2 linked regions of the Yarrowia lipolytica genome follow. The protein of the gene in region 1 purifies or fractionates together with the protein of each later gene. This does not show direct contact. Links are inferred from orthologs where the notes say so. Each region holds a gene or a part of one and is shown in the gene's direction. Other genes may lie near its edges.

Region 1 (4,600 bases):
CCAGTCTACTTCCTATCAAACTTGCTTATTAACGCTCTAGTTGATTGGTTCCCTGAACCCAGCCGTACGACAATACGATCAACGTAATCAGGGTCACTGAGAGGTGCGGTCGCTGGGCAGAGTGCAACCTCGTCAAAGTGTCTTGAAATCAACCACGGGAACCCCACAAGCGCCACCACCTTTTCCCATATATCACCCAACACAAGAGCGCACACGGCTGAAGAGACACAAGGGCGTGTTTCCAGAAGCAAGGAACAGAAACATATCATCGCCGGCCGCTGATAAAAAGACGGGGTGTGTTTGGCGCCCTGGTTCTGTTATTTTTCAATCCCTCCTCGCGACCTTTTTGTGGTCATATTCACATGCCACATGGGTCTGCGGTGGTGCCATGGTGACCGAAAAAAGGCCGACACCGGCGCGCATCCCAAGCGACCGGCTGAGAGCCCGTCGTTTTCAGGGGTCCAGGCGCCCACACCCACATTCAATACTCACCAGAACCGAGAACTCGGGCAGCACCAGACTGCTTCTTATCGGACGAAATAGGAGCCATTTGTTGGACGGTAGCGATGGAGACTGGAGAAGTGCAAAAGGTGTGGAGGGAAAGCAGACACTGATATACAGTTTGGGTTTTTCACCAAGACAAAAATTCCAAAGTGAGTCAGGATGCAGCTCCGAAGTTTCTCCAGAGGGGCAGCGATTGGGAACCAACAGCCAAAGTATCAGCGCTCAAACCAGGGTGTGTCTTGTGTGCGCAGGGGGAGGGGAGGGAGTCACGTGGCCCACCGTCCCCGGATTGCTCGGGATAGGCCACAAACGCCTCCGTGACGGCGCTCGACGGACCTGTTGTGCTGCTCACCAACTGCGATGCTGGTCATACTGGCCCTGTCTATCACCCGACAATTACCGTGCGAGATCCGAAAGTTTCCGACGCTCGGCCAAAACGCGGACCCCCGCCTAATTATCCGGATAGCGCCCAACCGCGCAAAGATAGCAGAGGCGCGTGTGCCATGGGCGCTGCAAGGGCTGTTGTGGTGGCTTTTGCCGCCTCCTGGTTGGCCAGTTTCGGCAACTAAAATCTGATAACGTTGGTTAAAGTTTCAACTACAATAGTTGCTCAACGTGAGAAAGGTGGAGAAGCCAACGGTCGGGGTTTTCCGCGCCAACAAGGGCCAATTTCGGAGAAATGCGGTGATAAAGCGGGTCTTTTTGTGAGCGACAATTGATTGTGGACATTACGGGCTCGCGGCCATCGCATATCCCATCCATAATTCCGCCTCGTGCTACCTCGGCTCATTTCCGGAGAGCTAATCTCCACGAACTTTAATGGTCTACGTCAGAATCGAACGTACGATAACACTTGTAGTTGGTAAAAATTAAAAATAAATAAAATAAAAAATAAAAATAAAATAAAAATAAAAATAAAAAGAGCAGGAATCGAACTGGAGAGAGAGCAAAACTTGAAAAAATAAAATTAAAAAATTAAAAAAAATTAAAAAAAATTAAAAAAAAATGCCACCAGACAAGAGCCATACACTAAAAGTTGGAGGACAAGTACAAACAGCACGTACAGTACATTGTAGATATATAAAGGGTTAGGGGAGAAGTGGAAATGGGAGCGCAAGTTTGATGGATGGCTTTTTTCTTTTGTTCCTGCAATTCGCCGTTCAATTCGCACCGTGGTTGATAAGTCAGCACTCTTGCAACTTTGCTGGTCACATGACTAAATATTAAAGTTTTTTCAGGCCGTGCATCCATCTGCAAGACTCTTTCCTCCTCGTAGTATCAACGTCAGCGACACTATATATGTAATGTCCGAGCTGGATGAGATTCGAGAGGACTACCTGTACGCTCTGGAGGAGCTGACGGGGGTCCAGAAGCCCATCATCACCAACCTCACGGTGATTGCCGAGGAAAACAGACACGCTGCCAAGGCCATTACCCGAGCCATTGAGGAGCGAATAAGTAAGGTGAGTAGCGGAGGAACCACAATGAGGAGATGCCGACGACAAGGACGAGATCAAAGGACACAGAGCGACCTGAAAACACCGGTGCCGGCCACACGGTACGCCGACTCTTGCTCTATCCCAGTGACGGTGTTTAATAAGGCGTATGGTGTCATGTTGGTGATCATGTGCTGCGACTGTGGTTATGGGTGGCGTTAACATGAAGCTTGGGACAGGTTGACGATTGATTTTGCAACGTGGCACATGTATACAACCTCTGATCCATCGATTGGCTTGGTCCAACTCGTGTGATGGAGTTTGTATCTCCAGGCTGTCGTTATGTCTTCGAGACAACGATGTGATTAGTGACTGACGAGAGATCATACTGCGAATGACGACACATCAATAATCTTTTCCATATGCCACCGCCGCCTATATCTATCTCTACATACTAACCCAGTGCGCTCCAGAGTACAAGCTGCCAGCAATGTACCTGCTCGACTCCATCTGCAAGAACGTAGGAGCACCATACACAACCTGCTTCGGTATCAACTTGTACCGCACTTTTGCCGACACATACACCCAAGTTCCCGAATCGATCCGACGAAAACTGATCGAGCTGTACGGCACCTGGAAAACGTCGGCCACAGGCGGCATGCTGTTCCCAGCAGAACCCATGCGAAAGATTGCCTCTTTTCTGGAACGAATCAACGAAGTCACATCACGGGCCACGCCAAACCCCGCAACCCCCAACCTGGGCACCCCCAACCCCGCTACTCCACCTCTAGGCACTCCAGTTCTCGGCCAAGGAGGTTTCGGAGTGCCCAATGCGGGCCTGACACAACCCCAGCTGCTGGAGAAGTGCAGCCACGTGATCGACATGACTTCTGACCGTCTACAACATATTCCAGGCGACGTCGATGCCAAGGAACGGATTCCTGTCCTCAAACAGCTACAGGCCGTTCTTCAGTCCCAGGCCATTCCTGTGTCGTACCTGTCCAATATTGAGGCTCAATTGGCCTCTTCTCTAGCCCATGAGGAGAAGAAGCTTGCTGAATACGAAGAAAACGAGCGACTAAAGCAGCAGCAGCAGCAGCAGCAGCAGCAACAGCAGCAGACGACACCAAGCAACTTGCTAGCTTCCCTACAAGCCGCTGGCTTGTTAGCAGGAGGTATACCTGGTGGAATGCCTGGAATGCCTGGTATGCCTGGAATGCCTGGAATGCCGGCTATGCCTGGTATGCCTGTTCCACCCATGCCTATGCCTGGTATGCCTTTTCCCATGTTTCCTAACCTTGGTACTGTTCCTGCACCGGACATTAACTCTCTGTTGGCCTCTGGTGCCTCTTCTTTGCTGTCTTCCTTGGAGTCTAACGACGTGGAACTTTCTACGTCTTCTCTGCTGAAGCCTCGCCCCAATCTGGTATTCAACCTTTACGGCAAGATGCCCAAGGTGTGCAACATTTGTGGGCGGCGGTTCCGAGATAATCAGGACCATGCCCGTATGCAGCACATGGACTGGCATTTCCGAATCAATAAGAAGATGCGCCAGGACGAGGGACGAGCTCAGAACAGACGGTGGTACCTGGCCGAGCATTTGTGGGTGGCAGGAGAGCAAAAGGAGGAAAAAGAAGAAAAGGTGCAAAAGGTGGACATGGAAAGTGTCAAGAAACAATGGGTTCTGGCTCCCAGCAGTGCTTCTAAGAAGAAGCAGGTTTGTCCCATTTGCACAGGAGGCTTCAACACGGAACTCAGTGATGAAGCTGAGGACTGGGTGTGGACAGACGCGGTTCAGGTTGGAGATAAGATCTTCCATGCCACATGTTATGCTGAGAGTGGAAAGCTGGCAGAGAGCCTGGTGAGAAAGAGGAGAGGAGAAGATAGAGAAGGAAGGACAAAGAGGGAGAAGGTGGAGCTCGACTACTAATCCGAGCAACATCTCTCACCCTCCCTGATCAGGCCCTGGCTGCAGAAGAACCGCCAGCGCCATCAACAGAAACAGAAACAGAAACAGTCAGAAGATCCAGACCTTTTCTGACACACAATCGCATTCTTTGATACTAGATATTAAATAATAAAACGTGCGGGTATCTATCCGTATGATAACAAATGAAGTGGCACTAGTGTACAAGTACAAGTAGGTCAACAAGTAGATACAGCCAACTGGCCAGATAATCCTGTACATTTCGAGTAAGACGGACAACAAGGACGAAGCCCATGGCGTTCCGGAAGCCTGTTGAGATTTCTGAGCAAGCCACTGGTCCTGTTTGCGACAATTACAAATCAATAAACAAGTAATTGTACTTGTAGCCATTGGTCATCTAGATAATCAGACAATGACTGTTCTCTCTCTTTTCAGACTTTTCTTTCTTGGGTCTAGTGGAACTGAAAAATCGTGGAGGAGACTAAATCTGAGCTCTTTATATCGCTAGGGTGTCCGTTGATGGTTGCTAAGGGAGTTAATTACAGCATCTCCGTTGACTTGCATCTGTCTTTCTCTTTCTCGAGGCAGACTGCTATGTTCTCTGTTTCTCGGAGTTGGAAATGACGATTCTGACGGGCTCGTTTCCTGTCATGTCATCCTCGGACTGAGTCTAGACAAGTTCTGGAATGTAGTTTATAGCGAAAGAACAACTACTTGTACCATATTTCGACAG
Region 2 (5,707 bases), on another chromosome or scaffold:
AAGAAAACCATGGAGCACATTCAGGAGGGTATTTTCACACTGGCGGATCTCAGAGACCAGATGGGCAACATGCTCAAGATGGGATCGTTGTCCTCCATTGCTGGCATGATTCCGGGACTCTCGGGCATGGCGTCTTCCATTTCCGACGAAGAGGGTACCCGTCGAATCAAGCGAATGATCTACATTCTCGACTCTATGAACCAGAAGGAGCTGGATTCGGATGGATCCATTTTCAAGGAGGTGCCTTCTCGTATCACACGAGTTGCCCGGGGCTCGGGAACCTCCATCCGGGAAGTCGAGGAGGTGCTTCAGCAGCAGAAGATGATGGCCTCCATGGCGTCGCGAATGGGCGGCAAGAACGGCATGATGTCACGAATGCAGAACGCCCAGAACAACCCTGCCCAGATGGCTGCAGCTCAAAGACGGGCCCAGCAGATGATGGGCGGAGGAGCCGGAGGAATGCCCGGCATGGGAGGAATGCCTGGAATGGGCGGTATGCCCGGAATGGGTGGAATGCCCGGTATGGGAGGTGGTATGCCTGACATGAGTGCTCTGCAGGGCATGTTCCCTGGAGGAATGCCTGACATGGGCCAGATGATGAACATGGTACAGAACAATCCTCAGATGAAGGCCATGGCGAGAAGTATGGGTCTCGGCATCTAAGCAAAGAGCCTAGACGGCCAAGACGAGTAACGAGTCTTGGTGAGCTAGCACGAGGAGCGCAGCGCTGTCTTTGGGCAATGTGCCCCACTGTGTGAGACAGTCTTTTGTTTCCTCCCTGCTAGAGAAATCTGTGAAGAGGAACTCACAGAGCATTAATATTGTGTATAGTTGAATTATTTGGATTGGATGGGTACTGTAGAGTGTTGTGGAGCGAGCCATCAATGTGATAAATCACGTATATCATCTTATAACGGCGAATGTCCTCCGTCAAACATGTTGGGGTGTCCAGAAATGGAGAATTTATTATCACAACAGGTGGGTTTTTTGGACTGAAAAGATTCAGCGGCCCTGGAGTACACGCTGATTCTAAAGTCGTTCATATTGGTCCTTTTTTCAGCGAGTTCGAAACACCACCCCTAGCCGTGCGGCTCGGAAATTACCTTGCCCAAGTTTTTAATTATGGTGATGTTGCGTTGCGTCGGGTCGATCTATTTCGTGCTGAGTTCAGATGAATGAGGGATCTAAATGTTGGTGATTGAAATTCTTCATAAACAATTTTGGTATCAAATTACTCCTGGGAATCTCAAGAAGACAATGGTGCAATTAGGGGACTATTATGTTTATTATTGGCAGAGATATAGCTATAAAACATTAACTGTTGGAAGTTGACCAAATAAGAAACCGAAAAACATAAAACAGATCAAAACAGGGCTATAATAAACCCACAGACAATTCCCCATCTCTGAAAAATCTCTATAATCCCTTTTGGGCCCCCATCTGTCCTGTCTCCTCCAGCCAAATAAAGTTCATCTGCGAGACTACATTAAGTTGTGAACATTTCGAAAACAGTGTGTAACCACCAAACAGAACAACCAGTTGAAACTCGGATCATGGCTGAAAAACGCGAATCGCAGGTGAGTATTTGAAGTCACGTGATGGTTGGACGGTTGGAGCCAACCACGTGGAGCCCAGCGCGACGAAATGCGACAATTCGCAGAGAGATATGACCACGGACGGAGGAAATGGCGGTACAGGCCGCCGCCGTAGACTTGAGTGGATGACTAGCGATGAATGGATGGATGGACTGGCAGAGAGAGAGAGAGAGAGAGAGAGAGAGAGAGAAGGAGAGAGAGGAGAGAGAGAGAGAGAGAGAGAGAGAGAGAGAGAGAGAGAGAGAGCGGCAGGGGACCAGGTCACGTGACCAATCATGTGATCTGCAGTCTGACACTGACTACAGCCTGTCTCATGGGGACGGAGGTATGGTGACTTAACGTGCAGTACCGTCCAGGTGTAGACGATAGCAGGTGGAGGATGGCGCGGTGGAGTGGGCAGATCATGTGCTTCAGAGTGGGTCACTTTCTACTCGTGGGTCACTTTCTACTCGTGGGCAACTTTCTACTTGTGAGTCACTTGCTACTCGCGGGCCACTTTCTACTCGTGGGCAGACCTCGTGCTCAGAAAGGTCAGCTCATGTACTGAGACGCCGAGGCTGTTTGTGTGGCGATTTTATGGTTCTTGGTTGTTTGTACCATTCAGTCTGTGTCACTTGAATAGCCACGATCCCCCCTACACTCGTGAAAAGCAGTTCCGTGCTCTCTGTTCACAATACTGCGGCGTTTTCTTCTCTGTTAGACTGACCCATCTCCCAGCGGTTGCTCCCCCGTATGAGGGTGTGTCTAGTACTCTTCCATGCTGACCGCCCAATTCACCACTTCTGCGTTATTGTCATTGTCAAGTCGCCTAAAAATCCCCTACATCTTGTCGATAATTGTCAGCATGTCAGACTAGACGTTCTGCCTACAGCAATCCACAGGCGACCACCAAATCTGCAGTAGCCACTGTCAAGTTATTGATCGCTCAAGATTTCTTCTGTTGGTACTGACTGAATTGCCAGTGCTGAATCCGACTACGGCTCTTTGGGATCTCATTTGTCTACGATATATCAAATATTTGTCAGGGCCAGACTCACGGCTCCTCTTTTCAGTTCCCGCTAACCCAGACCGACGACTCCGACACATTTTCATTCGTGGCGCTCGGAGGTGGCCGAGAAGTTGGCCGATCATGTCACGTCATCTCGTTCAAAGGCAAGACTATCATGCTCGATGCCGGCGTGCATCCTGCCCATTCCGGCCTCGCCTCCCTGCCTTTCTACGACGAGTTCGATCTCTCAACCATTGACATTCTTCTCATTTCACATTTCCACCTGGACCACGCTGCTTCTCTCCCTTATGTGATGCAGAAGACCAACTTCAAGGGCCGGGTATTCATGACCCATCCCACCAAGGGTATTTACAGATGGCTCTTGTCCGATTTTGTGCGAGTCACCTCTGGAGCCGAATCGGACCCAGATCTCTACTCGGAGGCCGACCTCACCGCCTCGTTCAACAAAATTGAAACCATCGACTACCACTCCACCATGGAGGTTAACGGAGTCAAGTTCACAGCGTACCATGCCGGTCACGTGCTCGGAGCAGCCATGTACACGATAGAAGTCGGTGGCGTCAAGGTGCTGTTCACCGGCGATTACTCTCGAGAAGAGGACCGTCACTTGAACCAGGCCGAGGTGCCGCCCATGAAACCAGACATTCTCATTTGTGAAAGCACATACGGCACCGGAACTCACTTGCCGCGTCTAGAACGTGAGCAGAGACTGACGGGACTGATTCACAGCACACTAGACAAGGGCGGAAAGTGTTTGTTACCAGTATTTGCTCTTGGACGAGCCCAGGAGATTCTTCTCATTCTCGATGAGTACTGGGAAGCCCACCCTGACCTCCAGGAGTTCTCCATCTACTACGCCTCTGCTCTGGCCAAAAAGTGTATCGCTGTTTACCAGACTTACATCAACATGATGAACGACAACATCAGAAGACGTTTCCGAGACCAGAAAACAAACCCGTTCCGGTTCAAGTATATCAAAAACATAAAGAATTTGGACCGTTTCGACGACATGGGTCCCTGTGTGATGGTGGCGTCTCCTGGAATGTTGCAGAGCGGTGTTTCGAGGTCTCTGTTGGAGAGATGGGCACCTGACCCGAAAAACACGCTCATTTTGACGGGTTACTCGGTTGAAGGAACTATGGCGAAACAGATTATCAACGAGCCTAATGAGATCCCCTCAGCTCAGAATCCGGACCTGAAGGTTCCGCGACGTTTGGCGGTGGAGGAGCTCTCGTTTGCTGCCCACGTGGATTTCCAGCAAAACTCTGAGTTCATCGATCTCGTGGATTCCAAAAACATCATTCTGGTCCACGGTGAGCTCAACAACATGCAGCGTCTCAAGGCTGCTCTTTTGGCCAAGTATCGAGGCCTGAAGAACAGTCCTAGAGAGAAGACCATTTACAATCCTCGAAATTGCGAAGAAGTCGAGCTCGCGTTCAAGGGCGTGAAGGTGGCCAAGACGGTTGGCAAAATGGCCGAGGAAAAGCCGCATGTTGGTCAAATAATTTCTGGAGTGGTTGTGCAGAAAGACTTCAATTACGGACTCATGGGCGTTGCTGACCTGAGAGAACACGTTGGACTGTCAACCTCTTCCGTTCTGGAGCGACAGACTGTGACGGTCAACGCAGGAGTGGATCTGGTCAAGTACCATCTCGAACAGATGTTTGGATACGTGGAAATGAGAGAGACGGAGAACGTTAAGATTGAGGAGATGGAGGACGACGTGGCTGAGGAGGAGGAGGACAAGGAGGTGAAACAGGAGGTAGAAGATGTGACCATGGAGGGTGAAGTCAAGGATGAGACCGCGGAGGAGGTCAAGAAGGAGGAGGAGGTTGCGGAGGAGTTCAAACAAGAGGTTGAGGGTGATTCCGACACTTCTGCGGGAACCACATTCGTCGTGATGAACTCGGTCACAGTGAAACACACTCCCACAAGTTGCACCATTGAATGGGTGGGTTCCTGTCTCAACGACTCCATTGCCGACGCTGTTCTGGCCATTTTGCTGACAGTGGACAACTCCAGAGCGTCGGTGAAGATGTCTTCCAAGCAATGTGCCCATTCTCATGGCCATGAAGACGGCCACTCAAACTCCTCTCTCGACGAACGAGTTCTGCAGCTGTCTTCGATTCTGAAAGCTCAGTTTGGAGACTCGTACATTGTTTCTGAGGATGGCAAGTCGGCCAACATCAAGATCGACGCCATGGAAGCCACGATTTCCTTCTCTGATTTGTCTGTGACCGGCTCACCTCCTCCTCTTGTTCAGAGAGTCCAGGTGGCTGTCGATCGGGCCATTTCGCTCGTCGCTCCTCTGGCTCAGAAGCTGTCGGCCGTGGACCTGGTTGAAGGTTTCAAGGCCATTGAGAATGTCAAGGATAGGGAAGAGAATGGGGAGGTGAAGGCAGAAGATGAAGAGAAAGTCAAGGCGGAGGAGAAAGTCAAGGAGGAGGAGTAAATAGTATCGAGTTTGATGTACCCAATATACAGACTGTAATATGAAGCGTTCGTAGATGATGCAAAGAAACAGGACTGCCACCAGTCTCTGCAAAACCCCTCGGACCAATCTCCTCAGTCCCACCTCTCAGACTAACCGGCCAGTCCAGTTTAACCCTTCCCCACATCACCGGACCAGCCAAGGGATGGATCTAAATCTCTTTTAGTGAGTTCTTTCACGACAAGACCTTTCTTTGGAACAAAAATCTCGAGAAGAAAATGGACGAAAATGGTACCAAAATTGTTCCCCTGACTCTTTGAATCTTTTCAGACCTTCTTGGTTTTCGCTGGTTCTGATATTGAGCGAGTTATGAGTGCATTAGAGAACGGACATCCATAACTAGTGGGTTAGACAAACTTAAGTATAAGTTCAACTGGATTTACTTGAGAAGCAACCAAAGAATGAATATATCACACCAGAAGAGCAGTAAGTATTTCTGTAACTGGGTTTTTAATAGGTAAAGTACTTCTTTCAAATCAACTGATGTAGTCTGTTTTGTATTTGCTTGTCTGGTTCGACTGATAAGGACCCCCAGCACACTTTTTTACTCAACTATTACCAAGTAATTCTCCCAACTAGAGTTTTCCACTTCTACTGACGCCTCATAACAAG

Evidence for each region.
Region 2: the proteins of YALI1_C20180g (region 1) and YALI1_F05624g purify together in Saccharomyces cerevisiae (affinity purification with mass spectrometry; 4 studies listed by BioGRID, with this or other methods). This does not show direct contact. The link is inferred for Yarrowia lipolytica from reciprocal best matches to the Saccharomyces cerevisiae genes PCF11 and YSH1.

Annotation. Positions count from the first base shown.
Region 1 is NC_090772.1:2,015,816-2,020,415, reverse strand, and holds YALI1_C20180g (uncharacterized protein), read left to right. Parts: upstream 1-1,808; coding exon 1,809-1,967; intron 1,968-2,403; coding exon 2,404-3,870; downstream 3,871-4,600. Other genes in the region: YALI1_C20198g (uncharacterized protein), read right to left, coding at 493-550. UniProt on the Saccharomyces cerevisiae protein: Component of the cleavage factor IA (CFIA) complex, which is involved in the endonucleolytic cleavage during polyadenylation-dependent pre-mRNA 3'-end formation and cooperates with cleavage factor NAB4/CFIB and the cleavage and polyadenylation factor (CPF) complex.
Region 2 is NC_090775.1:559,417-565,123, reverse strand, and holds YALI1_F05624g (uncharacterized protein), read left to right. Parts: upstream 1-1,974; coding exon 1,975-2,064; intron 2,065-2,662; coding exon 2,663-5,056; downstream 5,057-5,707. Other genes in the region: YALI1_F05661g (uncharacterized protein), read left to right, coding at 1-663. UniProt on the Saccharomyces cerevisiae protein: Component of the cleavage and polyadenylation factor (CPF) complex, which plays a key role in polyadenylation-dependent pre-mRNA 3'-end formation and cooperates with cleavage factors including the CFIA complex and NAB4/CFIB. Has endonuclease activity.